Linked DNA regions of Kluyveromyces lactis. The protein of the gene in region 3 binds, or shares a complex with, the protein of the main gene of each other region. Links are inferred from orthologs where the notes say so. Each region holds a gene or a part of one and is shown on either strand. Other genes may lie near its edges.

What was found.
Region 1: YML6 (region 3) and MRPL38 share a complex: the UniProt entries of both Saccharomyces cerevisiae proteins name them as parts of the mitochondrial large ribosomal subunit. The link is inferred for Kluyveromyces lactis from reciprocal best matches to the Saccharomyces cerevisiae genes YML6 and MRPL38.
Region 2: YML6 (region 3) and MRPL31 share a complex: the UniProt entries of both Saccharomyces cerevisiae proteins name them as parts of the mitochondrial large ribosomal subunit. The link is inferred for Kluyveromyces lactis from reciprocal best matches to the Saccharomyces cerevisiae genes YML6 and MRPL31.
Region 4: YML6 (region 3) and MRPL28 share a complex: the UniProt entries of both Saccharomyces cerevisiae proteins name them as parts of the mitochondrial large ribosomal subunit. The link is inferred for Kluyveromyces lactis from reciprocal best matches to the Saccharomyces cerevisiae genes YML6 and MRPL28.
Region 5: YML6 (region 3) and MRP49 share a complex: the UniProt entries of both Saccharomyces cerevisiae proteins name them as parts of the mitochondrial large ribosomal subunit. The link is inferred for Kluyveromyces lactis from reciprocal best matches to the Saccharomyces cerevisiae genes YML6 and MRP49.
Region 6: YML6 (region 3) and MRX14 share a complex: the UniProt entries of both Saccharomyces cerevisiae proteins name them as parts of the mitochondrial large ribosomal subunit. The link is inferred for Kluyveromyces lactis from reciprocal best matches to the Saccharomyces cerevisiae genes YML6 and MRX14.
Region 7: YML6 (region 3) and RML2 share a complex: the UniProt entries of both Saccharomyces cerevisiae proteins name them as parts of the mitochondrial large ribosomal subunit. The link is inferred for Kluyveromyces lactis from reciprocal best matches to the Saccharomyces cerevisiae genes YML6 and RML2.

The regions. Positions count from the first base shown.
Region 1 is NC_006037.1:613,036-616,912, reverse strand, and holds MRPL38 (mitochondrial 54S ribosomal protein uL14m), read right to left. Parts: upstream 1,935-3,877; coding exon 1,518-1,934; downstream 1-1,517. Other genes in the region: putative serine/threonine protein kinase KKQ8, read left to right, coding at 1-1,227; protein kinase NNK1, read right to left, coding at 2,396-3,877. UniProt on the Saccharomyces cerevisiae protein: Component of the mitochondrial ribosome (mitoribosome), a dedicated translation machinery responsible for the synthesis of mitochondrial genome-encoded proteins, including at least some of the essential transmembrane subunits of the mitochondrial respiratory chain.
Region 2 is NC_006041.1:1,081,224-1,085,239, forward strand, and holds MRPL31 (mitochondrial 54S ribosomal protein mL60), read right to left. Parts: upstream 1,977-4,016; coding exon 1,587-1,976; downstream 1-1,586. Other genes in the region: cyclin-dependent serine/threonine protein kinase CTK1, read left to right, coding at 1-389; HSK3 (Hsk3p), read right to left, coding at 518-712; kinetochore-associated Ndc80 complex subunit SPC24, read left to right, coding at 940-1,509; CMC1 (Cmc1p), read left to right, coding at 2,314-2,625; APL2 (Apl2p), read right to left, coding at 2,803-4,016. UniProt on the Saccharomyces cerevisiae protein: Component of the mitochondrial ribosome (mitoribosome), a dedicated translation machinery responsible for the synthesis of mitochondrial genome-encoded proteins, including at least some of the essential transmembrane subunits of the mitochondrial respiratory chain.
Region 3 is NC_006038.1:119,538-124,043, reverse strand, and holds YML6 (mitochondrial 54S ribosomal protein uL4m), read right to left. Parts: upstream 2,181-4,506; coding exon 2,142-2,180; intron 1,974-2,141; coding exon 1,224-1,973; downstream 1-1,223. Other genes in the region: RPS18A (40S ribosomal protein uS13), read right to left, coding at 375-421; snoRNA-binding rRNA-processing protein UTP6, read left to right, coding at 2,753-4,117; chromatin-binding transcription regulator ADA2, read right to left, coding at 4,211-4,506. UniProt on the Saccharomyces cerevisiae protein: Component of the mitochondrial ribosome (mitoribosome), a dedicated translation machinery responsible for the synthesis of mitochondrial genome-encoded proteins, including at least some of the essential transmembrane subunits of the mitochondrial respiratory chain.
Region 4 is NC_006039.1:1,298,602-1,302,717, reverse strand, and holds MRPL28 (mitochondrial 54S ribosomal protein mL40), read right to left. Parts: upstream 1,522-4,116; coding exon 1,078-1,521; downstream 1-1,077. Other genes in the region: KLLA0_C14949g (MFS transporter), read left to right, coding at 1-631; KLLA0_C14916g (uncharacterized protein), read left to right, coding at 2,138-2,398; LFT1 (Lft1p), read right to left, coding at 2,442-3,506; CGI121 (Cgi121p), read left to right, coding at 3,755-4,116. UniProt on the Saccharomyces cerevisiae protein: Component of the mitochondrial ribosome (mitoribosome), a dedicated translation machinery responsible for the synthesis of mitochondrial genome-encoded proteins, including at least some of the essential transmembrane subunits of the mitochondrial respiratory chain.
Region 5 is NC_006038.1:622,352-626,484, reverse strand, and holds MRP49 (mitochondrial 54S ribosomal protein mL61), read left to right. Parts: upstream 1-2,548; coding exon 2,549-2,941; downstream 2,942-4,133. Other genes in the region: KLLA0_B07205g (cAMP-dependent protein kinase), read left to right, coding at 512-1,879; RKM3 (protein-lysine N-methyltransferase), read left to right, coding at 3,433-4,133. UniProt on the Saccharomyces cerevisiae protein: Component of the mitochondrial ribosome (mitoribosome), a dedicated translation machinery responsible for the synthesis of mitochondrial genome-encoded proteins, including at least some of the essential transmembrane subunits of the mitochondrial respiratory chain.
Region 6 is NC_006042.1:1,780,905-1,784,717, reverse strand, and holds MRX14 (mitochondrial 54S ribosomal protein bL34m), read right to left. Parts: upstream 1,895-3,813; coding exon 1,544-1,894; downstream 1-1,543. Other genes in the region: TMA64 (Tma64p), read left to right, coding at 1-54; MRPL1 (mitochondrial 54S ribosomal protein uL1m), read left to right, coding at 421-1,221; GEP5 (Gep5p), read right to left, coding at 2,307-3,224. UniProt on the Saccharomyces cerevisiae protein: Component of the mitochondrial ribosome (mitoribosome), a dedicated translation machinery responsible for the synthesis of mitochondrial genome-encoded proteins, including at least some of the essential transmembrane subunits of the mitochondrial respiratory chain.
Region 7 is NC_006037.1:182,195-187,059, reverse strand, and holds RML2 (mitochondrial 54S ribosomal protein uL2m), read left to right. Parts: upstream 1-2,234; coding exon 2,235-3,440; downstream 3,441-4,865. Other genes in the region: ERD1 (Erd1p), read right to left, coding at 1-840; KLLA0_A02013g (putative aminopeptidase), read right to left, coding at 3,613-4,734. UniProt on the Saccharomyces cerevisiae protein: Component of the mitochondrial ribosome (mitoribosome), a dedicated translation machinery responsible for the synthesis of mitochondrial genome-encoded proteins, including at least some of the essential transmembrane subunits of the mitochondrial respiratory chain.

The DNA.
Region 1 (3,877 bases), on a different chromosome or scaffold from region 3:
TATGACAACCAGTCCTCTGGAAATTCGAACCCATCTGATGACGAATCCGAATCTGATGAAGATGGTTATAAGGGACCAAATAAATCAGCCAATGTACCAAAGATTGTTAACGAAAAATCCGTCATTGGTGCTAACGAATTGAAACTGATAAACCAATTAACCGAAAAGATCGATAACGGATTTTGTTTGAAGGGCTCTAAGTCTGATGCAGTTTCCTCCAATGAACCTTCTTCTGCTCCACGAAAGCAGCATTTATGTGAGAAATACGGGAAGTCGATCGGTATCATTGGACAAGGTGCCTATGGGGTTGTAAAACTATGCTATAAATTTATTGACCCAGATGAACCTGATCTGAAAGATAATACATATTTCCATGATAACAAGTTATTCTATGCGGTAAAAGAACTGAAGCCAAGACCTGATGAGCCTCCAAAGAAGTTTAGCACAAGACTAACCTCAGAATTTGTGATAGGATTATCGTTGAGTGGTGGTAACAAAAGCAGAAGATCTTCGGCAAGAACACATCCTAACATTTTAAACGTTATTGATTTAATGCAAACACCTAACGCATTTTATGAAGTAATGGAATTTTGCCCTTCAGGTGATCTATACAGCTTGATTACAAGAAGCTCAAAATCTGATTCAGTTTTACATCCATTAGAAGCAGATTGCTTCATGAAACAACTACTACATGGTATTCAATACATGCATGCTCACGGTGTAGCTCATTGTGATATTAAACCAGAAAACTTGCTATTTCTCCCTACAGGTGTATTAAAAATATGTGATTTTGGTACAAGTTCTGTGTTCCAAACAGCCTGGGAAAAGAAAGCACATTTCCAAACCGGACCAGCAGGATCTGAGCCTTATGTTGCGCCTGAGGAGTTTATTCCAAAACAACAATACGATCCAAGACTAGTTGATTGCTGGAGCTGTGGTATTATCTACTGTGTTATGGTTTTAGGCCATTATTTATGGAAAATTGCTATCAAAGGCAAGGATTCAGTATATGACGCATTCCTCGAGGATATGGAAAAACATGGACAATATTATGTATTTGACGAAATGAAACATGTGTCTCCAGGTATGAACCGGTACAGAACTGCTGCACTTTATCATATCTTCCAAGTTGATCCGAATAAAAGGATAACGGTGGATTCATTGCTAAAAAGTTCGTGGATGAAGAGGACAAAATGCTGCGTTACATATCCACCAAGGCCGGTGTAACACCAAAATTTGTTTCATAGCTGAAGGCCTTGCTACTTTGGCAGATTTAGATTAGTTTCTTTCGCATCATTTTTATCTATATTTAAGATAAACATACATCTCTTTGAAACACTTATAAAATATTGATATCACTGTCAATGAGCAATAAGTTGGTAGTCGCGTATCCATCATATTTATCATGGCATTTTCATAAACTTTACTAACGATATTTTCTATTTTTTATTATCTATATACATGATTCTAAAAGCCCTGCGCAGTCGTAATCGATATTTACCAGTGGTGAAACATATTTACAAAACTTTACTTGCTAGAGAGCAAATCTTGTTGTAGCCCTTTTCCCTTAGTTCTCTGCCGACAACACCATCGTTACCCATAATTCTTGACCCTAGAGGTTCACCATTATTCTTGTTGATTAATACACAAGCATTGTCACCGAACGCAATTGTTGATCCATCAGGACGTATCATATTTCTTTGCTTGGTACGTACCACCACAGCGTGTACAATATCACCTTTCTTCACTCTGTTGTTATTGGATTGCCCAGTAATAGTTTGTGTTAATGGTTTAGCCTTCTTCACCACACAGACGATTTTGTCACCTATTCTACCTGGAGATTTTGGCGAACCTTTTCCAAGTACTTTGATACATTCGGCAATTTGAGCACCTGAGTTGTCAATGACTTTCAAAAAAGACTTCAAATAAATCATGTTATAACAGTCACAGTGTGAACTTCAGTTAGGTCGTGTGCTGCAGGCTGCTACTGATCGGGAAAGCACAGCTTTTCTTCCTGGACTATCGTTAGAGAAAGGATTAAAGCTTTCTATGTCTGGTTTCATCAAATTTTTTCTTAACCCATAATTGATGTATATCACGTGATTGATTTATTATTGGCTAATCAACGCCATTATCAACGCTTACTACATACAAATAAAGTGCTTACAACGCCGTCATTGTTAAGACAGCTGGTGTTTTCATTAGTTATCGTTATATACTTCAGTAAAATTATTAAGTATTATGCTGTTGAGAATGGTAAAACATCAGAAAAAAGGTCAATGTAACAGTATGCGTTACTATTAATGCTATTGGTATGCTTGTTGAATTAAAAATTAAGGGTTATAACTGACAAGGACAGAATAGTAGAAAATATTTTGTTAGTTTAGGATTAGTTTCAATGCTTACCCAGAGCTACTTTCACCATATCAAGTTCCCATCTCCGGGTTAAGTCTTTCGTTAAGCAGCCCTTCACTGCGTTGAATAGACCTTGGAATTCCACCTGGTCATCTACACCCAAGTTCGAGTTCATATCACAGTTACAAACTTGGCGTAGTGTCGTTTTATCATATTTACCTGAAGTTATTATTGCACGAAGTCTGGGCTCGTATTCATGTTTAAAAGGTAATTTGCCGGTAAGCATGGTGAAAATTAAAACACCAATGGCCCATATATCAGCGCTTGGTCCAATGGGAGGAGGGTTGGGTTCTAGTAACTCCGGAGCAGCGTATGGTAAAGAGCCAATTCTGCTCATGTCATCGTTGATATGTTCATGCAAATCTTTGTTAGGTGTTAATGTAATGTCTGTTTTTTGGTTCAACGAGCTGGTTAGGTTAGAACGAGTGCTCTTTGGTACGGAGTGAATACCCAAAGTCGTATCATCATGAATTAATTTTTTATCGTTCACTATTTGTCTTAACCTTGATTTCAACCGTAAAGAAGAATTATTCGTTGAAGAGGAAGATCTTGGAATTGAGGGTCTTCGTTTCAAGTGAAGAGTAGACCCATCAAATAGGGATTTCAGTTGAATTGATTCATTTTCCATCTGATCTTTGAAATGGCCATAAAAGTGACTCATGCCAAAATCGCATAATACAAGCTTCCAATCTTTGTAGTTCTCAGACTTTTTTTCTAGAAGGCAATTTTCCAACTTTATATCTCCATGTGCAATGAATTTAGAATGCATATATTGTACAGCATCAATTAATTGTAACGCTAAGGCGGATGTAGCTTGACACCTTTCTCTTAAACTAATCTTTGAATTACCACATTCGCCCCAAGAAACAACTAAATCGTATAAGGTTCCATGATCGATCTTATCTGTTAAACAATATGCCACCAGATCATCGTCTAATTTCCATTTTGTTAAAGGAAGAATATTATTGTGGGAAAGTTTCGACCATATTGAGATTTCACGTAGTACTTGCCTCTTTACACTTCGATTGTCCTTGAACTTGATAATCTTCATCGCCTTGCAACAAGTATTATTCTGGTTTTGAGATTCATCTGTAGAAGGGAAACATTCCCTGATCATACCCCAAGCGCCGAACCCTATTATTTTGCCAAGTCTATGACCCAAAATGAAAGACCCTTTATCGTCCCTCTTGAAAGAACTAGAACCGGGGGTAAAAGAGTTCAAGTATTTCGATGCAACTGATCCATGTCTGGATCTCACGTTATGTGTTGAGCCACTGTGGCTTAATTTCTCACGTTTCAAAATGTTCATAATAGTCTTATAGTCATGGTTGGGACTTAAATCCTGTATGATCTTCTTACGTTGGGAAAATGGCATATTGATGAAATCCGATGGAATAGATCTCATAATTCTATCTAGGTCATGTTCTGATATTTCAATTTGGGCAGGTGGAGTTCTCAGAGA
Region 2 (4,016 bases), on a different chromosome or scaffold from region 3:
CTGCCATATTCCCAGGTTCTAACGAAGTAGATCAATTCCAGCGAATATTGAGCATCATGGGAAGTCCGACTTTGGAACAATGGCCCAAGATGTTAGATATGCCGTGGTGGTTCATGCTTGTACCACAAATATCTAAGACTTACAAGAACGTATTCTTCGATGAGTTCAGCAAAGTACCGCAGGATGCCCTAGATTTGGCATCCAAATTGTTACGATACGATCAGGATACAAGATTCACGACAACTGAAGCATTACAGCATCATTACTTCACAAATGAACCCAAACCACAACCTCTACTCTTGGGACCCGAGTTCAAAGGTTCGCACGAGTACGAAGTGAAAAAGATCAGAAGGAAGGAGCGCGAACGCCAGAAGGAGACCACCGTTTAGAGAAGAAGCGGGGGTTTTCCTTTGATCTCATTTTCTCATTTTCTCATGATCCATAGATATTAGGTATACGTTCATATATACATATAGTGTTACAAACCGATATTTATCGTAGGCATGTATCTCATACCTCATTTCTTTAACATTTCATCTTCGAATACACGGTTACTGCCGATGAAAGTGCTGGCTTGGACGGCTCCCAGTTTCGTTATCATATTGCTTTGGTTTGCCATGATTTCCACTTGAGCCGTTGTCTCATCGAGATTCTCACGAAGTTGTTTCAAATGTGCTGCTAGTCTCGCATATTGGCGCTGTTTGTTGTCCATGGTAAATATCAGTAACGTGGATGACCTTCCGAGTAAAGATCTTGAGCAATATCCTTTGGTACTTCTGTTTTAAAGGTTCTCTGCTATTAGTGGATGCAATTTTAAAGATTCAATGTTTTGATTTAAGTGAACACAATTGACAATCTCATCGAATTGAATCATAAATAGATGTGATATATGAAACAGTACTGCACAGTACTGAGCAACAGTGGATATTGCAGCACCCAATGTCACGGCTCAATGATCCAGTAGAGCTTTTACAGCAAACCCGGTCCAATTTCATCATTGAAAGCGATGTCTCTAATATTAAAGAGATCAAGAGTAATATGAGACAGCTCACGAAATTGATGGCTGAGAAACAAACACACCACAATGAGCTCATGAAACAATTGCAATCACAGCTGCAAAGACAGCAAACTAAAGTGCAGGCACTTAAAAAGAATTTTCAGGAGCAAACAAGCCAAGTGAAACGCGTAGAGGACGAATTAAACATACCGAAATTGCAACAAGACATAGATAAACTGGTACAGGAAATTAACCAGCTTCGAGATACGATACAAGAGGGTATTCAAAAGGTCGTAGAAACACAGAAACAATTACTCAATGACGATACTGATGCTGCCCACACGATTGATGAGGAACCGATCGGTAAAGATGACAAGATACGTGTGCTAAAGTTGAAGTTGTTCCATTCCCTTGACGTAGCACTATATAATGACCAATTGCTCGATCTAAGGAATGAAGCCCGTCCATTATCATCATCATCATCATCTCACAACATCTGGGATGAACTATGATACCTTGATTTTATTCACTATGTACAGGGGCTACTTACTATGTAATAATAGAAGTTTTTAATGATGATTCATCCAAATCAGAAATGACGTGGGTTTCTTCTGATGGAAAGCTTGGTCCATTTGGGAACTTTATGTATACCCTTTCTATATCCCTTCGAGTACCTGTTGAATACACTGTACTTATCAGTAGCAGACATCTCCGGTTCCTTTGGGAAATACTGAGCCTTGTCTAAAATACGTAAGCTCTTCACACGAGGTTTAATCTTACGTAGATTCAGCTGAGATCCCTCAGAAACCGCCATATGGTTTCTTTCAAGATGAAGACCTAACTTAAGAGTTGAAAGAACATCATCAACGCTTCTCAAACGGTCTCTTTGTCTTGCTTTTTGAGGACCAGACATACGCCATGGGACTTTCCATAATAATCCACCTAATGCAGGTTGTGTAGCTCTGAATGCACCGAACATTTCTCTATGAAACAAAGATATTCAATTGACCCGGGTATGACAGAACCTAACGAGCTGCTTAAACAGTTTGTATAACGGTGCTACTGGCTGGCTTTTACCAATTTCCCACCGTAATTCATGGTATTAAATCTTTTAAACCTTCGAAATTTTTCAAAGTATCCATGAAAAAGCTTTAAATCTCAACATTATGCAAATGAACAATGTCAACTGATTTAAACGATTTTGGGGAACAGCCAGCGTATTGTCATTTGTAGCTGCTGCTGTGTCCATAACCATAGGTCAGAAGTTCTTATAGTACTGGAATACTGCACCACAAAGATAGATTATTCATTTAGAAATGTCAGAGGGCGTTGGAAAGCATAATCAAAGATTACCAATTTGGGTATTGAACCCTACCGAGGAGAAAGAAGCTCGTCAGAATTTGAAGAAATTTGCATATGCACAATGTGTAGAATACGTGGAGGCCATGGTCGAATGTTCAAAGATTCATGGATTGAAGCTTTTCCCAGCGTGTAACGAACCTCGTGACGCTATGCGCAAATGTATATTATCATACCAGAAGGATTCTAATCTGGATCGTCAACGTGACTTGATAGTGGAACGTAAGATTGAGAGACTTGAGGATCTTCTCAAGAAACAAAAGGAATAAAGTTGACATGATATGACATGACATGACATGCCACTGGGGTTACTTGTATATAGTAGTAGATACTGCACCATAATAAATTAACATTTTAGAAAGGCACATCCATGATTGAAGTTTATCTGCTTCATTGTTTCCCATTATAATTATAGTTTGTACAGGTGTTCAAAAGAGTAAACTAGTTTACATTAAGTCTAGAAGATCGGTTGCATGGGAATTCGAGGTGTTGTTGTTGTTATTATTGGTTTTCTGTGAAATGTTTACTTTCCCCATATCACCAGTGATATCGAAAAGATCATTTAGTTCGTCCAGGACGCCTGTACTTCTCGTGGCAGAGCTATCACCCATGTCAAGTAGTACATCATCGTTCATGTTTTTCAGGATCTCGTTCGTGGCCATTCCCTTTAATTCATCAATATCCTTATCCTTAATGATGTGAACTTCGTTGGGACGGCGTTGCATCTGCGAGATTGGTTTGAAATACACAGAGGATAGAGTGGAGAGCTCTTGAAGTAGACTTTGTAATGTTTCCTTGGAGAAGTGGTCCAAGGTAGAATGCAATTTAGGAATTTCATGCTTGTCAAATAATTGGTTGATGATTTGATCACCGTTGTCGATCGATAGACACCGCCAGTACATCATGGCCATGTCTCTAACGTCCAAATCGTGGACGTCTGTCGTACAAAGTTCCAAGATCTTCTGTAAGAAAGCACTTGAGACTGCATTATGGCATTTCACTACACCCATTAGAAGGGACATTTGAGTTAGGGATCCTAATTCATCGAAAACTTCTACCAGTGGTTCAAGCTTAGTTTCCAAATTTTCGTTTGTATAGTTGGTGATAAACCAGATGTAGTTACAACTGCCTAGATCAGATGTAAATATGGTATCGATATCTTGCCATGAGGAAATTATGGCACCCAACTCATTCTTACTTGTTTCCTTGATAAGATTGTTGTCACTGTCATAACGTAACATGTCGCATACGCATCTCATCAATATATCCCTAAACTCTTCTCTCTCCTGGACAATCGAAACGAATTCTTCCATGACCATATTCAAAAACTTGTTATTCGTATCTTCACCTCCGTTCGAGACTTTAATGGCCAATTGTGAGATGGATTGGATAGCTTTGGTCACGAATTCATGATCAAAGTCCTTTGCATATTCTTTTAATTCGTTGAAAAGCATCTGGCAATGTTTCAAATTATCCACGGGCACTAATCTGAGCAAGATGTCTAATTTCTCTATCTTCACGTACAATGGATCATTAAATTTGACATAGAATATTCTTAACTCTTTCCTTAACAAGTTTGGGAAGGCATCCAAAATAATTCTTATATTTCTCAAAGCAACATATTGGATCTCCACTGGGGTCGACATTAGTGAGACCAATG
Region 3 (4,506 bases):
ACTTTGGATGACCTAACGTAAAATGTCAGAAAGGAGATCCATTTTTGAGTTCAACATTCTGCATATTGTCTACTAACGGGCGTAAGCTTTTCAATTCGATTTGATCTTTGGAAAAATTGTGGGACCATCTATCTGGTGGTATTCCTTCTCATTTTCTTCACTTTAATAGTATAACATCATCACTAAATGATATACCGAATGTAACGCGCAATGCATGTTTTCATAAAGCTGTCTAATACCTTTCATCTCCTCGGAACTCTTTATAACCACGGTAGTGTTGTCTTGATAATACTCGTATTCATTGCCCTTGAACATATCTCATTTCAATTTCCTCGTTGTAATCCTCTTAAAACGTTTCTCATCTTAAAACATACCGCAAAATGTGTTGGAAGGAACCTTGTTCTTGAACAACTAGAGACATCTTTGCTTCTTACTCGTTCTGTTTCGAAAACGACTACCTAATAATAAAGTATCCGTTATTTAAATATAATAACACTAATATATCATTGTTAAGTAGCTTTTCACTAATTGAACACTATGATTTTGCAAAGGTTCAAAGGTTTCCCTCCATACAAACTTGCCATTCGGTAAAACCACTATAGAACGATTGTCTCACAACCGCACAAACCAGAACTGGACAGAGGCCCAGCATACTCTGTCACTGAGCAAGATCGGTCTAGTGGTGCATGTTCCCAGCCTAGGAGCAGAAGGTGTCGGTAGGAGAAGCAGAATCAGGGGGATGGAAATTCTGTCGGGGAGGAGAAACTGGAAAGAACCGAGGCGTCGGCACACCTAATGCCCTGTCTTTCCTTAGGCACGGAGAAAACTCAGCCCAAAGTCTGAAAAACGTTGGATGGGTTTCCTAATCAGGAAACTTGAAGGAAAGGAAAAATTAAACTATTATTCGGTTATAGGCGCATTGAAAATAATAAAATGCACGGGTGTATAAGGCTTCCGACAACAGTCCGAAATGGTTGCGTCTGTTTGTCCTCGATTTGGATTTTACAGCTTGATGATGGCCACAGCATTGGTCAATTGTCTTTACAAATACGGATGTCGCTAACTTAGATAAACAGCCGTGTAGCTATTTTCATTTTATTTGTGACGTTAATATACACACATACATATATATACAAGTTGTGGATGAGTTGGTGCAATGTGGAGTTTATTATTCGAAGCTTTTATTTTAACTCCCGTCTGATGATCAGTATCTCGTTCCATAATCAAACAACGTGAGTAACAGCCAGGTATTCTAAAGCTTCCAATTCAATAAAGATTCTGTGAGCCTTAAGTAGATCGTTGACATCAACAAATTCTTTTTGGACGATGTTAACTTTATCTTGGAATCTTTCTGTAAATGAAAATAATCCTGGCCTTGGTTCGTTAATAACGAATAATAGCTTCTTGTTCTGTAGCTCATAGTGCTTTAGGAATTTTTCGAACACGATATCGCCATCTTCTGAGCCCTCCCCGATGGGAAGAATTTCCAATTCATTTAGATCAGCCTGGCTTGTTTCGGAGATTCCGTCACCACTTCCGATGACGAAGACGTTACCGTTTCTGTATTGATGACTTAGTGCGTTATTGAATGCTAAAGAGTACACTTTCTTTGGGAGCGCTGTGGTATAATCATTTGGTGCAGTTCTTGCTAGAGCTCTACCACCGTTATGCCTTATTGGTGAATTAGCGTCACCAGCTCTGGCCATACCAGATCCCTTTTGTGGTAAAATCTTTCTTCTCGAATAACCAACATCACTTCTGCCTGGGGGGTTAGAAGACCCAACACGTTTACTGTCATTTTCGTAAACAACAGCACGCCATAGTAAGTCTCTTCTCAATGGAGCATCAAATACTGAGGTTGGCACTGGTGCAAATGTCAATGGTTCTAATGATGGGAATGAACGAACCGTTGCTAAGGTATATTTTGGCGGTAGACTAGCATTAGGAAGGGGTTTGTTGGAAACGTAACGGACCTGTAGAGAATAGGGAAAAGAGTAACAAAAAATTACGAGCAATAGTTAGTAAATCGATCTTCTAAAAGTAGGTGATATAACTGCTTAATGCGGAAGGATATCATCATGCAGTTTGAGGAAAGCCCGCGCTTTACCATTGCAACAGTGATGAAAATGGGTTTGACATACGTTTTTGCACAAATTCAAACCTTGTCTCTTGGAAAACATGGCTGATTCTGATACACTGACTTAATGTCTCGATACAAAGGGGATCAATTGGACACTCCTATGTCTGATCACCGCAAACAAATCAATCATCTTTAGTATTCAACCTATTTCATATTCAGATTTTTGATTATCGAAAATTTGTCTACCATGTAAAATATCCGGGTAATGTTAAATTGCCCGAATTAACGATCAACAAAACTGTCATCTTGTATGAAAGCATACAACGACATTAAGGGTCGCAGTTTATGGTAGTCCCGAATGTCATATGTAAGCGGATTCAATTTGCAGTAAAAAAAAATCCGATTTACGCTAGCAGAACAACAATTGTACTTGTCCTTTTGTTATTCATCGATGGTTATTTAAATGGAGGACTTTATTCTGACTGATTATATGAAAAAGAAATCAATATAACCAAAAAAATTCAAAAGCTTCAAGGCTCATCTCATCTCATCTCAGTATTATTTAGCATGAACAAAGCCAGTAGTCGTTTCCTTTGTCAGTAAGCGAGCGATACGAGTCTCCGTGATTACACTTTAATCAATACTTAACATAAAACTACCCAGAGTAAGGCGATGTCATCCAGAACAAGATATTACTTGGAACAATGTATTCCAGAAGTTGATGACTTAGTGCAGAAGAAGTTATTCACTAAGAATGAAGTAAACAAAATTATGAAGAAAAGGACTGATTTTGAACACAGATTGAGTTCGAGAGGTTCAAGTATAAGTGATTACATCAGATATATTGAATACGAGAAGAATGTCGATGCATTAAGAATGAAACGTGTTAAACGTATCTTGCAATCGAACAAATCAAATAGTATTTCGGATTTTACCATACAGCAGAGGATTCTCTATATTTTCCAAAGAGGCTGCAATAAGTTCCCAAAAAAATTGAAATTTTGGTCTTTATATTTGAATCATTTAAAATCAAAGGGTACAAATGCCTCTTATAAAAAGATTCAAAACGTCTACAATCAATTGCTCAAATTACATCCAACAAACGTTGACGTTTGGATATCATGTGCTAAATATGAATACGAATTGCACGCAAACTTCAAGAGCTGTAGAAATGTTTTTCAAACTGGTCTTAGATTTAATCCAGATGCTTCTAAACTCTGGTACGAGTACGTTAAATTCGAACTGAATTTCGTGACAAAATTGTTAAATAGAAGAAAAGTGATGAATTTAATCAACGAAAGGGAACAAGAGCTAGATATGCTACAACAGCAAGAGGAAGGAAGAAACTCCAGTAATGTAACAGGTCTGGAAGAAACTGCAGATGACGAAGCATACTTTGACAAAGACGGAATTCAACTTCCAAGTACTGGTGACAAGATGAAAGATAAACTAAACGAGTTACCAGAAGCCGATATGAATATGCTTGGATCAGAAGAAACTAATCCAGCACTACGTGGTGATGTCGCATTGGTTATATTCGATATCGCAATGAAGAATCTGGGCACATCTTTTGTCAAGAAACATCAAGGATACTACGCCGTTACCAATTCGCAAGTCGATGAAGAGCTCAGCAGAAACGTTATGTCCTACCTGTTTGATAGATGCCTCGAGTATATCAACTTATTTTCGGAATTTCAAGATTTAAAAAGAGAATATCTGATAAATCACGTATTGCAATGGCTAAAGGACGAACATTATAATATTTCCCTTGAGAAAAGTATGCCAGAAAAATATGTGGAATTATTATTGCATGATGTTACATTAAATATCAAATTCATGCCTGCCGGCGAATTAAACATCGACAGTCTCCAATTGTCCTTCAAAAAGTATTCTGCATACATCAGCAAATTAGATGAGACGAATGCCAAACAACTTACTACATTATATTCTGGTTATTTGACCCAACATCTATTATCCAATATGGATAAATCTGATTCGAAGTATGCTATTTTGAATGCTATTATCAAGAAACTGTAATGAGACACTGTATACACATTTTTATGTACATATTTGACATTAAGTAGTAAGGTAAGCAGTGGAGCCAATATTTCCACAGTTTTATAACTCTAATTAAACCCAATTCTGAGAAACGAAGAAATCATAGATTCTGTTGGCCTTCGTTGCCTCGATATTCAATAAATCACGACACTGTTTCTTCGAGAGTTGACCTGCAGTCCGTATTAATTCTCTGAATAGTACCTCTTTGATGGCAATGTAAGGCTTTGGCAAAATTTTCAACGTTATGCATAACTGCTGTTCCTCAGCTGATAATAATTGGAAATCTGCCCCATGCTGAATGTCACTGATAGTCATTAGTTTCTTACGTCCACTTCCTTCGTTATAATTTTGAGCATAATCAGCTTGCG
Region 4 (4,116 bases), on a different chromosome or scaffold from region 3:
TTACAAGAAAACTTCGGAATTCTTGGAATCTATCAGAGATTATAGAACTTGGTTACTGTGCGCTTTCGTGTTCTTTTATCAAGGTGGGGAAGTTTCACTTGGTGGCTGGATGGTTACCTTCCTTTTAGAGGAACGTCATGGTAATGCAAACAGCACAGGTTATATAGCATCTGGTTATTGGGGTGGATTAACTCTAGGGAGATTCTGCTTGACCACATTATTATACAAGAAATTAGGTGGTCGTCGTTCCATTTTCCTACTAACGTTAAACATTTCAGTATTGTTGCTTTTGGCGTGGTTAATACCAAACTTCTATGTTTCTGCGGTTTGTACAACAATATCTGGATTGTTTATAGGCCCAATCTATCCCTTAATGATTGCTCTAGTGTCGCATCCCAAGATTCTACCAAGGAAAATATTATCACAGTCGTTATTGATCATGACTTCAATGGGTTCTTCCGGTGGTGCTGTAGTTCCATTAGTAGTTGGGCTTATTTCTGATCGCACAGGTACATGGGTTCTCTTCCCTATTGTTCTTGGGTTGTTTCAACTAATGATTTTGTCGTGGCTGCTACTTCCAAACGTTGAAAACACCGCAGGCAAATCATTCTGGAGAAAATATGTATGGTGATGCCATTTTGCTAACCATGTACCCATTCAAGCTAAAATCATCTAAGTCAAATGAATAATGCTATTTGTAAACAAGACCATTATTCATATTCGAACCGATGTATACACAGAAGCCATGTTTTTTTCTGAAGTACACTGTCACTTTGGAATACGGTTAAAGTCCCCTTTGAAAAGCTTAAGAGCTTCATTCTGCCGATAATCATTTCGTAGAATTGCTTATTTACATGGTTTGTTTACATTTCTTCTATCTAACTCTTTCATTACAATATATAATGCAACATCTCCATTATATTTTATTGCGTGGCACTTGGTCTTGCCTGTAGATCACACAAGTTGTTTCTCGAGCAACCCACGTTTGGTGTACCGATAAAAAAGTGTCCTAGAAGAGATAATGTGAAATATGATTCGTGCTCTACCTTTAATGCATTATGCCTGGAAACGAACTATTCAATCCTTTTTCTTGTAATCATAATACCACACATTGTTCGGTGGGTATTGAGTAGGTACCCTTAGTTCCAATGGGACCCTCTTACCTGATTCTTCAGCGTTAGCCATTTCATATAGTTCGGGATCTACCTGTTCTAATAAGTTCATAGCTTCTTCTATATTCTCGTACTGTAGTTTCAAGAGATTTGTTCTCTTTTCCCTCAGTTCCCTTTGATATTGCGCCCAACAAGCTTGAATCATATCATGTTTGATCAAATCTTCACGGGAAAGTTTTAAAAGTTTTGGCTGTTTCCTGCTAGCAGACATAACAGAGAGTTGTGTAATGATTCTTTGCGCTTGAGGATTTAATCCACCTTTCGATTTAGTTCTTTTCCCACGAACAAAGTTCAAAGAGGGTTGCACTACCTTCAAGGCATTCTTACGAGATGCTGCACTCGCTAGCATAGTGGATGGAGTATTAATGATCCTTTCGGTTGGCTGAGAAGCTGTATGCTATCACACGAACTTATCGCAGAAAATCAACCCGTATTTAATCGTCATTCAATTTATTGTCAAAGCTAACAATAAACTCACTGAAACCTCATCGAATCTTCAAAATTTTTCAAAGTTACTGATGTTGAACAAACAAATGTCTGTTACCCGGAACTGTTGATTATTTTGACTGCTAAACTCTTTTGCACGTGACCTAAAAAGGTTCAAGTACACAGGGAGTAGCTGCCCTTCGACTAGCTGGTAGGTGATTAACTTCCGACTTGTCTTGATTACCTGCTATGCCACCTCACATAATGAAAAATTGAATCTAACAAAGCCTGGAATACCTTAGATATCATATTTTCCTTCTTTTCATCTTTACATCTGATATATGATGATATAGCATTACGCCATTTGTAAGGTTTTAAAGGGAAATCTGCACATCAAGGACCCTGTTTGAACCATTTATAATGTATAGAAACGACAATATATTTTAATGGCAATCAGAACCGACGCTGTTCGAAGAGTTGAGATTTCCCTTGGACCAACATTCGGAGTCGTAAACAGTTAAACTCAAACTTACGGAAAGATGTCTCAAGACGATCAGAAGCAATATCCTGATGAGAAGAAAAGTTCCTTGCCAGAGGATCCTCCAACGTATACAGATGTTCTTAAGGAAGACAAGGCACTACGAGAGGAGCAAGCAGAAAATTGCAATCAAGTGGGTCATATGAGCACCAACCACATACCAGAGGCAATCGTGGCTACCCCGGTACGCAGAGAACAAGTTATAATAACGCCGGCTCAAAAAAAGGTATATAGTTACAGTGCTAATGTAGATGATATTTAAATAGGATGAGAAATAAATATATTAGGCCTAAAAAAAGTACGTATCACAGTATTAACGGTGGCGTTGAACACTTTAAGTGTTCCTCGTCATCGTCGAGGTCTATTAGCGACAGGTGATGGTTAATGTTGTCCGATACTGCGTTATTGGTAATAGTCTGAGTGTTATCGGGATCAGAGAAAGGAATCGATAACGTGGGGGACCGCGAATTCGGTGATACAACACCAATTTTATAATCTTCAAGCTCTGGCGACCTAGCTTTGTCTCTGTGGTTTCCTTCGTCAGTATGATGGGTAAGGGATCCCCAAAACCAAAATTTGCTCTTCCTTTTCTCCTTTGGTCGCTTCTTCTTCTCTCTCGGTAAAGCTTTGGCGACAAATGGTTCCAAGGGATCCATTTTAAATTTCGGCTTGACATCATCACCATCCTGTGAAGGCAGATTGTTTCTATCATTTTTATCCCGCAGTTTATTGAGCAGAATTTGCTTACTTCTTAATTCATGAGCGCTTTTCATTGCTTTACTCCGTAGTATTTCATTTGTTGATTTCTTATTGGAATGCGGTTCCAAAGGCTTCTTTGGTGCGGTCAGCTCCGGTCGATGAGCATTTGAACTCCATGCAAATGTAACATTCTGTGTAGTCATTGAACTGTTGTTTAAACTACTGGAACCGTGGTTCGTTTCCTCACGTCTCCATTCTTCTTTGATTTCATGATATTTATCTATCATGGGGGTTTTTAATGGTTCAGACCACTTATCATAATTTGGGTCTCTTATGCGTAAGAGTTTGTCTTTATGTCGGGCTATCACCTCGTCTGCTAGCTTATATACCATGGCTTTTGTTTTTGAACCCTTTTTAGTATCGTCTAAATCCTCGAAGAAGCCTGCCTTTTCGAATTGTTCTACAGCTGTACGAACTTTTCTAATATATTCGTCATCATCATCATCTTTCTGATTCTCAAGCTTATTCCCCAGTGGTTGTTCGGTAGCAATTGGTTCTTTATGCGCTGCTGGTCGTTCGAGATCATTTGGTCCTTGATCCCGTACTACTTCGCTCAACTGCCTTTCCTCAAAAACACTATCCCAAACGTTTTCCTCGTCTGGAAGCTCCATTGACAGTACATATACCGTTGATATAGCAAAGTGATCACTTATTGTGTTTTCTTGTTCTGAACCTTTTGTAAAGTTTGTGTACTCATGGTTTTCTATCAATCTTTCTACGCTAGAAACTACTCGGATTGATTTGAAAGATTTAAATAGTAAGTCAGTAACAGTACAGATAATCAGAAAGTGAAGTTAAAAGAAGGACCGATAGTAGGCGACTTGCATCCAAGAAGTTCCAAGAGCTCATCACAAGACAAATGGCTGGAATAGTTTTGAAGTACAAGATTCCTCAGTTTCAGGAGTATACTATTCATGTTCAGAAGTATAACAATGTTACCAATTCTTCTGAGCTACGATCCAAATTGGCTGAATTACCTTTTGCATACATCGACTCCAAAACTGTGATATCCGTTGAACAATTGTCGAGTGCCATCTATAAGGCTATTTTGGAAACAGAGTACAATAGAATGCGGACAAGAACTATCCATTCTGAATGCATTTTATCACTATCTCCTAGTTCGAACATTGGCGATGCATTGAACAGATTTGGTATAAAGGAAGGAACAACTGATATAATTGTGATCAAAATCATTGAAGACAGTAATGAAGAACCCTATGA
Region 5 (4,133 bases), about 500 kb from region 3:
GTAAGATATTTGTACAATAAGTTTAATTTGACGTTGTACCGATAAAAAAATAAAAAAATAAAAACTAAAACGGTTAGGTTTTAGGCAATTTTATTCTTTTCCATCCTTTGCTATACTGTGAATTTTTTATTTGCTACTTTTCATTGTGACGTTTCCTTTTCCTCAAGGCACTGGCTTACTATTAACAATATATTCATAGTATCATCTACTGGACACACCCTGGGGTCGATACGGTTACTGAATTTCCTGATTTTCTTACCTACTTGTTTCTGTTTTGGGGTATTTCGAATAAGGGACAAGATACACTTTTCTTCATCATTAGTTTTTTTTTCAACATTCAGATCAGACCTTGGTTTGAAGGAAATCGGATAAAGGCTGGGCCTTATTTAGAACTCTTTCTAGTGAGAGTATAAGAGATATATCACTGTTTTGACTCTGTGCCAACTTTCTCTTTTTTTCCAATCTGAACCGCTATATCTTGCATGAGGCAAGACCTGCAAAGAGAAGAAAGATGAGACCTTTTGACAACGAATCCAAGGGATTTCTTTCTGGCCGAACAGATCAAATTGAATTACCTGTGGTACAGGCTGTTTCAACAAGTTCAAATTCTCAAGAACCACTTCTTTCTAGCAAAGACCCACTACGAGATGGAAGCAACGTGGGGAATAGGTTGAGTGGAAACAGCGAAACTCTGATAACCAACTCTGATGCTGATCATCCTATGGAGACGGATAATAATAACTCTAATCTTAATAATACTAATTCCTCTACTAATACTAATGATAACAAAGATTCGTCATCCAATTCCAGCAATAATGAAAATGGGGACAGTAGCAACAATTCAAATAGAAGGCATAGCAACCATTGTCACAAGCATAACCATCTAAGCAGCACTTCTACCCTCAAGGCAAGAGTTACTTCTGGAAAATATGCATTATATGATTTTCAGATTCTGAGAACTTTGGGTACAGGTTCGTTTGGTAGAGTTCATTTGGTGAGATCCAATCACAACGGCAGGTTCTATGCAATGAAAGTTTTGAAAAAAAACACCGTTGTCAAATTGAAACAAGTGGAGCATACCAACGATGAAAGAAATATGCTAAGTATAGTATCCCATCCTTTCATAATTAGAATGTGGGGAACTTTCCAGGACTCACAGCAATTGTTTATGATCATGGATTACATCGAAGGTGGTGAACTATTCTCTCTTTTAAGGAAGTCTCAAAGGTTCCCAAACCCGGTCGCGAAGTTTTATGCAGCAGAAGTTTGTCTTGCGTTGGAATACCTACATTCTAAAGGCATCATTTACAGAGATTTGAAACCAGAAAATATCCTTTTAGATAAGAACGGACATATCAAGTTAACTGATTTCGGGTTCGCTAAATATGTTCCTGATGTCACTTACACTCTCTGTGGAACACCGGACTATATCGCACCTGAAGTGGTAAGCACAAAACCTTACAACAAATCTGTGGATTGGTGGAGTTTTGGTGTTTTAATCTACGAAATGTTAGCAGGATATACACCTTTCTACGATTCAAACACAATTAAGACCTATGAGAATATTCTAAATGCTCCAGTAAGATTCCCACCATTTTTCCATTCTGATGCTCAAGATCTAATATCGAAACTCATCACAAGAGACTTAAGTCAACGGCTAGGTAATTTACAAAATGGAAGTGAGGACGTAAAGAATCATCCGTGGTTCAGCGAGGTTGTGTGGGAAAAACTACTCTGCAAAAACATTGAAACTCCATATGAACCTCCTATTCAGGCCGGACAAGGCGATACCTCTCAATACGATAGGTATCCAGAGGAAGAGGTTAATTATGGCATTCAAGGCGAAGATCCGTACCATAGTATTTTCACCAACTTTTAGCAGGCATACTTGCTCATGAAATTCAGATATCAACATGCCTCTTATCTTGCATCTACACAATATGTAAACTTTAACACGCCTTTCCCCCCGTTAGTCCCTTTTCTTTTTTTTTTTGTTTTGATATATCGGCTCATTGCCTTCAGAAACGCTGCCGTTATTTGATACATTCCTTTGAATGACCATCGTACAATACTAGATGGATTGATGTACGCACTTCCAATTCAAAATTCGTTTCATTCGTTTTGCTGTACTCTCCAATGGATGCTCGATGCAATAATCTTATTTTTGGAGTATTTATCTATCTATAATCAATGGCATTTACATATTTTGAATGCATGTATAAGACTTCATCACAAGTCCTTCCCTCACGATCCATGCTACATAAATTGTAAACTGGGGTAAGTCATGGCACATTCATTTATGTTTTGGACGTAACTTGCTTCTGTCGAATGATTTCACGTGACCAATGAATTTTTTTCCAAACTATTGAAAATTCAAAAAGTTCAGTGGACATGTCCAGTTGAAATGAGAATGATTTTACGAAATAGATGATTGAAGTGATATTGCTGAAAGTGAAGGGTCCTGGTTGCTCTACTTTATCGTCAAGGTTTATTTTACCGATTGGATACTTATACTCATTGTCACTCTAGAGAAGATCATTAATAAATAATGTCAGGAATCGTTAAACAACAAAAATTTTTGAACAAGATCAGTGCGACTACCGTGAAACCTCAAATTATATTAGATGTATCGAAGTACAGTGCATTGAATGTGAAGTTCCAGTATCAGAATTTCAATGGCCATATGGGTGCCCGTAAGTTCTGGCACGAGTTTTTGCCTTCTCTGCAGTTTTACAACCCTGCGTTGCCAATCAATGTGACCAGAATTAGAAACGATGATAAAAAAGTCGATGTACCATGCATACTAGAAGCTATTGGATCCGATGGGAAGGTTGTAGCTGAAGTTTCAATGAAGCACAAACACTCATCTGAAATTATGGATGAAGTGCTACAGAAATTGGAACACAAAAGAGTACCCCAGGAAGAAATAATAAAGGTATGAGCTCCGACCTTTGACAAAGAAAAACAAACAAACTGGAATACCTAAATATACTACTTTCAAAGTTAGGTCCTGTACATATGTATATAATAAGATACTTTTCATCCGATTTGATGTCTTATTCAAATGACATATCCTTTTGAGATGAGTTGACTCTCTGCCCAAGGATCGTCAAGACATTCAAGAACACGCGAGAAGAAGATTTAAAACGCCAGTATATGGTTACCAGGTGGTTATTTAACTTGAATTTCAGAACGCCTCTTACATCTAATTGTCATTAAGACATCTTACATTAACAGCGACTTCTTCATCTGCGGAAATGGTTTTCTGCGTATTGTTCAGTTGAAATTTTTCAATCTCGAAAATGATAAATCGCTTCAGATCTCATCATCTCATCTCATCTCATCGGTTGACCACAGAAATTATCAACACCCCAAAGAGGCATATAGTAGGGGCATTATTCACAGGTGAAGACTCTCAACCCAACAACACGAATGTCTAATACAGACTCCAGTGATACAGATGATATTCTAACATTTGTACTGGAATCCAAGGGGTTTTTCCACACTGCCGGCTGTGAGATTAGAAGATCTGATTATGGTGGTTTAGGAGTGTTTGCATTAAAGGATTTGAAGGAGGACACTGTACTCCTTAGGATTCCGAAATCTTCTGTTTTCACTGCAGAAAATAGTAGCATTGCCAATCTACTGGTTGATAGCGAGGTAAAAGGCATGTTGGCATTAAACATTGCATATATTTATGAAGTATTCATATTTCAAGTTGAAAGCCATTGGTACAAATATTTGAAGAGCATTTCACACAGACAAAATGGGAGTCTATATCTTCCACCGGCATACTGGGAAGATAATGAGAAAATTTTGCTGAAGAATACTGCATTGGATGTTGTATTCGAGGCGTTGTCTCCACAAGAAGAGATAGAAAATGGTTTCAAAGTTGGTATTGCATTATCCCGTAAGTGGAACGAAGAATTTGGGCTGAAAATACCGTATTTGTTCGACTTCAATTTAGAAGATCAGAAGCAAGTCTCTTCGAATTTTAAAGAATTTGCTGCTATAGCATTCGCCATATCGTCAAGAGTATTTGAGATCGACAACTATCATGATTCTGGATTAGTTGCCATAGCAGACCTTTTTAACCATCACGCAACGAGGCCCGACGTAAGGTTTGAGAGCAT
Region 6 (3,813 bases), on a different chromosome or scaffold from region 3:
AAATGGATTTCGTTTGAAAATAAAGTCAAACCAAAACAAAAGAAGAAGCTGTAAGGTACACTTATGCAGATAGGCATTATGTGAAACTGCTCTTTGTGGTCTTTCCAGGGCCTTGTATATCATAGATAACTCATCTTCTTCCTCGTCTTATTCACCTACATAAACAGTATACCAATTACATATTACCCGGATTTGTCGATGTATCAAAATTTTTTCAGCTTTAGTATAATGATTAGTTGGATTAAAATCTTGGAAGCGTTAACAAGAACGATGAGAACAACGAGTTGACGTTATATTACCCTTTGGAGAGGATACAATCAATTTTCAACTATTTCACGTAAAAACTTCAAAGACTTGTGTCTCTGAATAACCTGAGATTTTTTCCAATTTCGCTACTTAGAGGCTAATAGGGTCGGCAAGATGTTTCCAAGAATATTCACCAGGCAGTTCCAGATAACGTCCTTCCGTCTAGCGGAAGAAACGGGTACTAAGTTGACTAAAGAGCAACTTAGAAAGAGGGAGCTAAGAAAAATGGTTCAAAGAAGATTGCAAGCAAAAACTCCGGCCAGTGACCATCCACTGTATATGCCAGTTTCTAGAGCACTAAGATACTTACGTGCAATCGAAGTCGGGCAACCAGCAAGCCAACAAACCATCACGTTAACTACATTGGTGGTAGCAGAAAGAGGTGTCCCCCCTCTTACAGGTAATGTTTCCTTCGGCAAACCTCTTAAAGATGTGAAAGTTGCTGTCTTCACTAATGACGAGGCACAAGCGGCTTTGATGAAAGATAAATACAGTGTTCATTTAGTCGGCGGTTCAGATTTAGTAAGTCAAATCAAGGCTGGTGAAGTCAGTATCGACTTTGACAAGGCTTTTGCAACTCCAGATATTGTTCCACAACTTGCTTCTCAAGTTGGTAGAATTTTGGGTCCTCGTGGTTTACTGCCAACTGCCAAGAAGGGAACCGTCGCCGAAGATCTTGAGCCATTGATTAAAGATAGTATGAGCTCTGTTCCATTCAGACAACGTGGTAACAGTATTAGTTTAGGTGTTGCCAAGACCCATTTCACTGACAAGGAAGTTCTAGAGAACTTGTTGGCAACACAGAAGGCTTTCAAACAATCTATCACCAATCAACAAACGAAAAAACCAAGCATATTGTCCCAAACTACGCTGACAAGTACACACGGTCCTGGTATTGTGATTGACTTTGCTTAATAAAGCAACCCAATTTTTATGAACAATAACTGGAATTGTTGTCCTTGTCAAGATAGAATGAAACTTACTTCAGAAATAATGCCCATGTACATAGAAATCGTTAATAGAAAAAAGATTCCTTCTGCAATTGATAACTATAAACCTATCCGATAGAATCATCTTAATGTCATGCCAGCTTTCTGATGGCAAAGCTAAAATCAAAACTGTTCCGTTTTCTTAAAATACATAATGACGATGTGGATATATATACAGGAGATTCAGCCATTCTTTATAATCAGGCGCTTCCATAACGTTCCTGGTTTGATTGGAAAGTTGAACAGAACTAATAAGTCAAATACCATCTGCCTTTATTCTTTCTTCTTTTAAGTATCTGTTGTCCACTTCTAGATCTTGCCCTTGCTAGGAACCCCACTCTTCTCTTTCTCTTTAAAGTACTCGGTTGGAAAGTGTTACCTCTACTTTTCCATCTTCTCTGAGTCAAATCGAACAACATACCAAATATTGATGAGCCATTTGCTTGTGTTTGAGATTGTAAAGTGATTTCCATTGGATTGACTTGCGCCAAAGGTCTATGAAGACGTGAGTCTAGTGTTCTTAAAGGTGAGAAACTAGAGAAACTGGTTAATGTACGTTTTGAGGTCCACTGAAGAAGATTTCTTGTTATAAAACTCATAACGACTGGATGAGATTTTATTTTAATTGTTCTTCACTTCGAATTAAATCCTTATCGATAACTAATGAGTAGTTCGGGCGACTACTTTTAGGAGACTTCGTCTTCAAGAAATATGTCCTGGTTTCTCTTCGTTTGATTTCTTTGAATTCAAATTTTTTCTTTCTCGAGACTAATGTAAATGTATGAAAATATCGATGGATGTTGGAAATAGTGAAAGCATCTGTGGAAGCGAACAAACTTGGCTTCTAGCAAACCGCTGAAACTTCAAATCGGTCTTAGACTAGTCTGTTACAATAAGTGTATTGGCGGTTTCATTTCCTGGCTAACATTATTATTAAAGTGTTTTCTATTTACATTGAGCTAAAATGGTAGCTGTAGGTAAATTATATATCACGTGATGTGTGTTCATAAGTCAATTATGTTCTTCCTCAAGGGCAGCAGCTAAGTTCTCGCTCAAATTTTCCTTCGACAGGACAAATCCGCCTCTAGCAAGTTCACTTATTTCGAACTTCCCATCTTTGAAAAGGTAAGATCTGCTGGCAACATTTTTATACAATCTTTTCGTTCGCCTATTGAGATCTGGGTCGTTAACTATTGACGTTAATATAGACTCTGCATCTGAAGTCAGCACCGGATTTTGCGAGTAGAGCAGGTCACTAATTAGCTTGACCTTTTTCTTAAACAAGTTATCGATCCTGATGTCGGCTATATCGAAACCATCAGGTTTCATTCCGATCTCAACGATTGGTGCCTGGAGTTTTTTTGTAGCGCATAGTTTCGGATTTGTCTTCAAGAAATAGTAATGCTCGAAAATTTGCCGTAGTGTCTCCTTTATCTTTTCTGCAGGGAGTCTTAATACTTCTGTAATTTGAGTTGATTGAAGACCGTCAATTCCTGTGATATCTTTTATAAGTTCCTCATTCGGAGTCTGCCAGTTTTTCGGCCGCAGCCACTTATGACGATTGAAGCTCAAGAAATCCAAAGCATCCTTATTGTTACGAGACCATAAAATCGTTTGAGATGTTAGATTTGGGTCATCCATTTCTAAAATCGAGTGCTGCATTTCATAGGGCCAAAATTTTGCCAACTCATTAGGGTATTGTCTCAATATGTCTACGTGTTTAGGAGGATCGTTCAACAAATGGAAATGAACAGAATAGACTAATTTCTCCAAGGTCTTGCGTGTTGGATTCTCATTGAAAGAGTTTAACCGATGTAGCGTTTCATGTTGCTTATTCTTGGGGAAAGTGTCCACCTTCGAAATGGCGTCTTTAGTTATTGAATGAAGACCCTTGTATAATTTCGAAGTTCTCAGAAGACTAGCCTTCATCGTCAACCTCCAAAACTGTTGTCAAAAAAATACGCACAATACTTCACAGTATGTCCATTCGATTATGACCTATTTTAAACAGTAATAACCTTCGTCTTTAGATTAATACAGAACCTCTTCCGAGCCTGTTCTCTGTATGAAGATCGTCATGTGTGTGCTCTAGGCTAGAAAATTTTCGTACCTACTTACTATTCCATATTGCAATTTGGAAAGCCAGACACGAAACGAAACCAGGAAGAACAGCGACACAAACTCACATTTTGTAGTAGGCACTGCTACTGCTCCTTGTTGACGTGGGCATAGTCTCAAAGCATCGCGACATTCCGGATTCTTTTGGAGTATTTTCATGAGTACTAAGCAATGAAGATGTATCCAGTATCACCGTAACATCCATACACCACATATACTCAGTTTGATTCACCAAATTCGATCAAAAACAACAACACAAATATACAAACATAACAAAAACTGTCTCAAAATTTACAAACAGTAAGAGCTCAAGGTCGTTCAAAGCCGAGCAATCAACGGTAAGATATTCCAATTTTGTCTGTTAAGCTAGCGTGAAGTCAGACTAGAAGAGATATTGGCT
Region 7 (4,865 bases), on a different chromosome or scaffold from region 3:
CCAATCCATGGTCACATCCCACCAGAATGAATACGCGGAATTCCAAAACATGAACCAATACATCATTCCAAGTGGGCCCAGGTTGTAATATCTTGTATAGACTGTAACTAGCATGATAGGAATATTACCAGCATACTTAAAAGCATTGAACAATTGTGAACCATCTTTCTTCTGAGACCTTCCTCTTGTAAATTCTCTTAACGATTGAATCATTCTGACCAATGAGGGCAAGACTCCAACAAGTACGTCAATGTTTAACGATATAGCATTTTCATATCTTTCCACTTGACACTTGACGTTTGTTGGATCATGGAAAAGGAAAGTGGCATAAATAGCTAAATCCACCAATGGCTTAGAGTACGAGGTCAAAGTATCACTAATTATAATATAGTTATTCCTATACGGCTTTGGTTCAATGTCAGCTACCCAAAGTATTCTTTTAAAGCACCTTGCGACCATTGCTGATGACCTTAATATCATTGCAAATATGTAAAACAACTCCAGTAGTGGTGAAACATTCAAAAAAAACCAAAGCAATTTGTTGGATACGTTATTAGTGAAGGAGTATTGGAATAAGATTATACATACCAATTGCCACGGTATAATGACTCTAGAGATTGACTTGAACAGTTTCAGGCTTGATTGGTGTATTTTCGTGGATGTGTTAAAGTAAGGTAGTCCCGTGGACTCATTGGATACAATTACTTTGGACACGTCGTAGTAGGATACTGATACCTTCAGGAACCATGTCCATAGCCATAACCCTAATAACACAAGGACAACAACTCTCTGTGGGATCGGTAGGTAAACCAGAAAGGGTTCAACAGATTCGGCGTCCATGAATGCACGTATAAATAAGGAATCAAAAAAATGTAACAAAAAAAGGAGGAATAGAAGCAGAAGAAATCCCTTTCAGAAAGGCCCTGTGTGTATCGCTAACGGTTTAGATTTGTGGTTCACTGTCTCAGAGCTCTGTATAATCTAGGATCCTACGTTTTTAGTCCTAAGATAACACTTTTATTTCTATTGACATCTTTTCAAGACGTGTTTACAATTCAGATACCGGCACCAAAAATAAAAAAACACACACTACCGAAAAGCACAAGTTACAAGTACAAGAATGGAACAGCTAATGCTATATATAAACGTATTCAGGACTGTTAGAGATAACAAAAAGCGTGTTTCTAATCCTTTAAAATTTTGAATTTTATTCATGATTAGCATGGAAACTTTTAGTTCATCATTAATAGGTCTATATATTTAAGATAGAGAATGCCGAGTAATCCACTGACACATCTAACGTACACTTCGACTACCCGAATATATCCGGAAATGAAGAAAGTCAAACAAACAAGAAGATATAACTTGTACTGTATTGCCTGGACAGTTTATTTTAATAAAGTAATCGATTGATCAGAATTTTCAGTGTTTGGCTAATGCTAGTCGAATCGTTCATATTTTCGAAATCCGTTTGGGGCGACAGCGGTCATCATAATCGATATACTCAAAAAAAAAACAATCCAAATGATGGTATTTCCATACAGACAGTCATTATCTTCGTCGTTCCTTTTACTTGTTCATTTCCCGACATGAAGAGGAATTTGATTTCCGTTTGAGTTCAGTAAAAAAGACAGAATACGTTGCGAACAGGAACTCCTGTTCCTGATACACTACAAATCGAATCCTTGTTGGTTATGTCTCTAACTCTAATTAAAAGCTTTGTAACGGATAATAAAGTATTCGTGATGAGATAGAAACTTACCTCAAAATTTTTCACTTTTCCAGTTATTTAAACTAAAAACCATAAAACAGAAAGAATAGTCAATCTAACCATGAGAGACTGGTCTGCCATTAGGGCACAAAATAAGTACACAAAGATTTCCTGAATCACGTGACCAAATATTATATAATCCGGGTAAATTCAGAATACGTTCATAGTGATACTTCTTGCAAAAAATTCCATTTGACGATATTCCTCTGATGGTATTGAAGCTGTTTGAAATTAGAGATCGCTTGAAAGATTTTGATATTAACAAAAATGAACAATGTAATTGCAATGACTTAAACATTTTAAACTATGGATATTGATATATATAAGGGTGGATATATCTATAACAAATCTTATTAAGATCAGAGTTATTTTATTATTTCTGTGAAGGGCAGTAGCAAAGCGGAGATATTGGTATTAGACGGTTTACCCTAAGAATCTCGTTAGGTGCTCTGGATATAATATCATGTTCAAGCAATTCAACTTGAGATGCCTGACGCCGCTTGCCAGCGGCGTCTCCTCAAGAGTTCAAGTTCCGTGGAATGTTTCGATGATAATGTCTTTGAACAATACTTCACTTGGTGGAATCAGATCTATGGCCAGCATCACTCCAACCGGGAATGAAGAACAATCTTCAGTTGACGATGTCAATGTCCATATGTTGAAAATCGTTCCTAATAACACAGATGTGGTAGCACTAGAGAAGCAAGACGAATTGTTAAGAAGAAGAAGAAAGTTGGCTAAGGAAGTTACACAAATGAAGAAATTGAAACCGGTTTCTCCAGGTTTGAGATGGTACCGTGCGCCAATTTATCCATATTTGCATAAGGGAAGACCTGTTAAATCTTTGACTCTTGCCAAGAGAGGAAATGGTGGTAGAAACCATAGTGGTAAGATCACGGTGAGACATCGTGGTGGTGGTCATAAAAGAAGATTGAGAACAGTCGATTTCAGTCGTTTCGAATCTGGTATGCAAACTGTGGAAAGAATCGAATACGATCCTGGTAGAAGTGCACATATTGCATTGATAAAACATAACGATACTGGTGCCCTAAGCTACATTTTAGCATGTGATGGGCTAAGAGCTGGGGATACCATCGAATCATACAGAAAAGGTATTCCACCATCATTTTTGAAAGAAATGGGTGGGAAGATCGATCCTGCCATCTTATCTGTTAGAACAGCTCAAAGAGGTAACTGTCTACCAATCTCTATGATCCCAATCGGATCCATCGTTCATAATATTGGTATCACTCCTACAGGTCCAGGTAAGTTCTGTCGTGCTGCTGGTTCTTACGCACGTATCTTATCCAAGATCCCAGAAAAGAATAAAGCTGTTGTCCGTCTACAAAGTGGTGAGCACCGTTACGTATCATTGGAAGCTGCAGCTACCATGGGTGTTGTCTCAAATATTGACCATCAAAACCGTTCTCTAGGTAAAGCTGGTAGATCTAGATGGTTGGGTATAAGACCAACTGTCAGAGGTGTGGCAATGAACAAATGTGACCATCCTCACGGTGGTGGTAGAGGTAAATCTAAGTCCAAAAAGTTGTCCATGTCTCCATGGGGTCAATTGGCCAAGGGTTACAAGACAAGAAGGGGTAAGCATCAAAACAAAATGAAGGTTAAAGATAGACCAAGAGGTAAGGCTGGTAGAAAGGCTAGACAATGATAAGCTTCCCCACAACTGATCCTATCTTAAATATCATCAGTTTTTGTAAACTTATTTCAATGACTTCCATCCTGTAAATATCGTAGAACTAGTTAATTTAAAGAAATAACATAACATCTGTTCAGTTACCAACTCTATTTTAAACAAAGTTTAGATTACTACATCCAGAGCATCATTTGGTCTCTTCTTCCAGCTTAAATTCCCAGTTCCCAAGTTCGAATAAGGAACCAACGACTAACCTTACATGCTGGGCCATGTGATCAAATGAAAGTCTGTCTAAAGTGTCCATCGTACTGTGAATGTATTTGTTAGATTTGTTGAACTCACTTTCAATGACAAAGGAAGCGGGGAATCCATTCTTCGTTGCACTTCCGTGATCACTACATGCATATCCACATTCCGTTTCCACGTAAGGAATATCCAAGAATCTTCTTATAATCAACTTAATAAATTCAGTTAGACCTGGCGTGGTATAATCAGTAATGACACCAACATGCTCATTTTCTGGATCTTCAACATATCCGGTCATATCTTGTTGCAACATTGCGACGACTTTTTTGTTCTCCTCTGCATACCTGGTGAAGACATCCAAAGAACCTAGTAAACCACCTTCTTCTGCACTATAGAAATGGAACTCAATGGTGTTATTGGGTCTGTAACCTGTTGTAGAGAGATGTTCAACGTATAATCTCAATGCCTCTAGATTGGTTACGGTACCAGATCCATCGTCATCAGCTCCTGGCGCAGCAAGTATCGATGGCAATAAAAGGTTCATAGAGTCCTGATGCGATCCCATTACGACAATGTTCTCGGGAGTTTGTGCTCCTTTAATCGATACGATGATGGAGAATTGCTTCCAACCTTTATGCTGAACATGTTCAATGACAACGTCATTGTTCAATGGACTAGTGATGTTAGATAATTTCTCGGAGAGCCAAACAGCAGATTCGTACCCCGTGTCAGATTTGTAATAGCGAGTGTAGAAACTTGTGAATTTTGCCAAATTATCATGCATTGAAACCTTATCAACTCCCTTGGACAACGAATTTACAATTTCGTCGCATTGAGTTTCCTTCGGATAACGGTACACTGGCACAACAGCCTTTTCATCTTTGGACTTAAGTAATTTGGGAAAATTGGTAATATCCATGAATTGCACTCCTTTCCTCTTGAGAGACCATTTCTCGGTCTCTCGTACCATAATAGTCTTACCTTCCTCGATCTCAAGAACATGTAAACTATCAAATGGCAAAGCTGCCACAGAAGCTGCCAACAAGAACCACCCAAACTTCATAACTAGCCAATCTGATATTTGCTACGGAGTTGAAGCAAAGTATACACCGGTAGATGCTTGTACTGTCCCTTTTAATACAGTATTTATCCACTTGTTTCTGAAGGGAAAAAGGGTTTTTTTGACATCTAAGT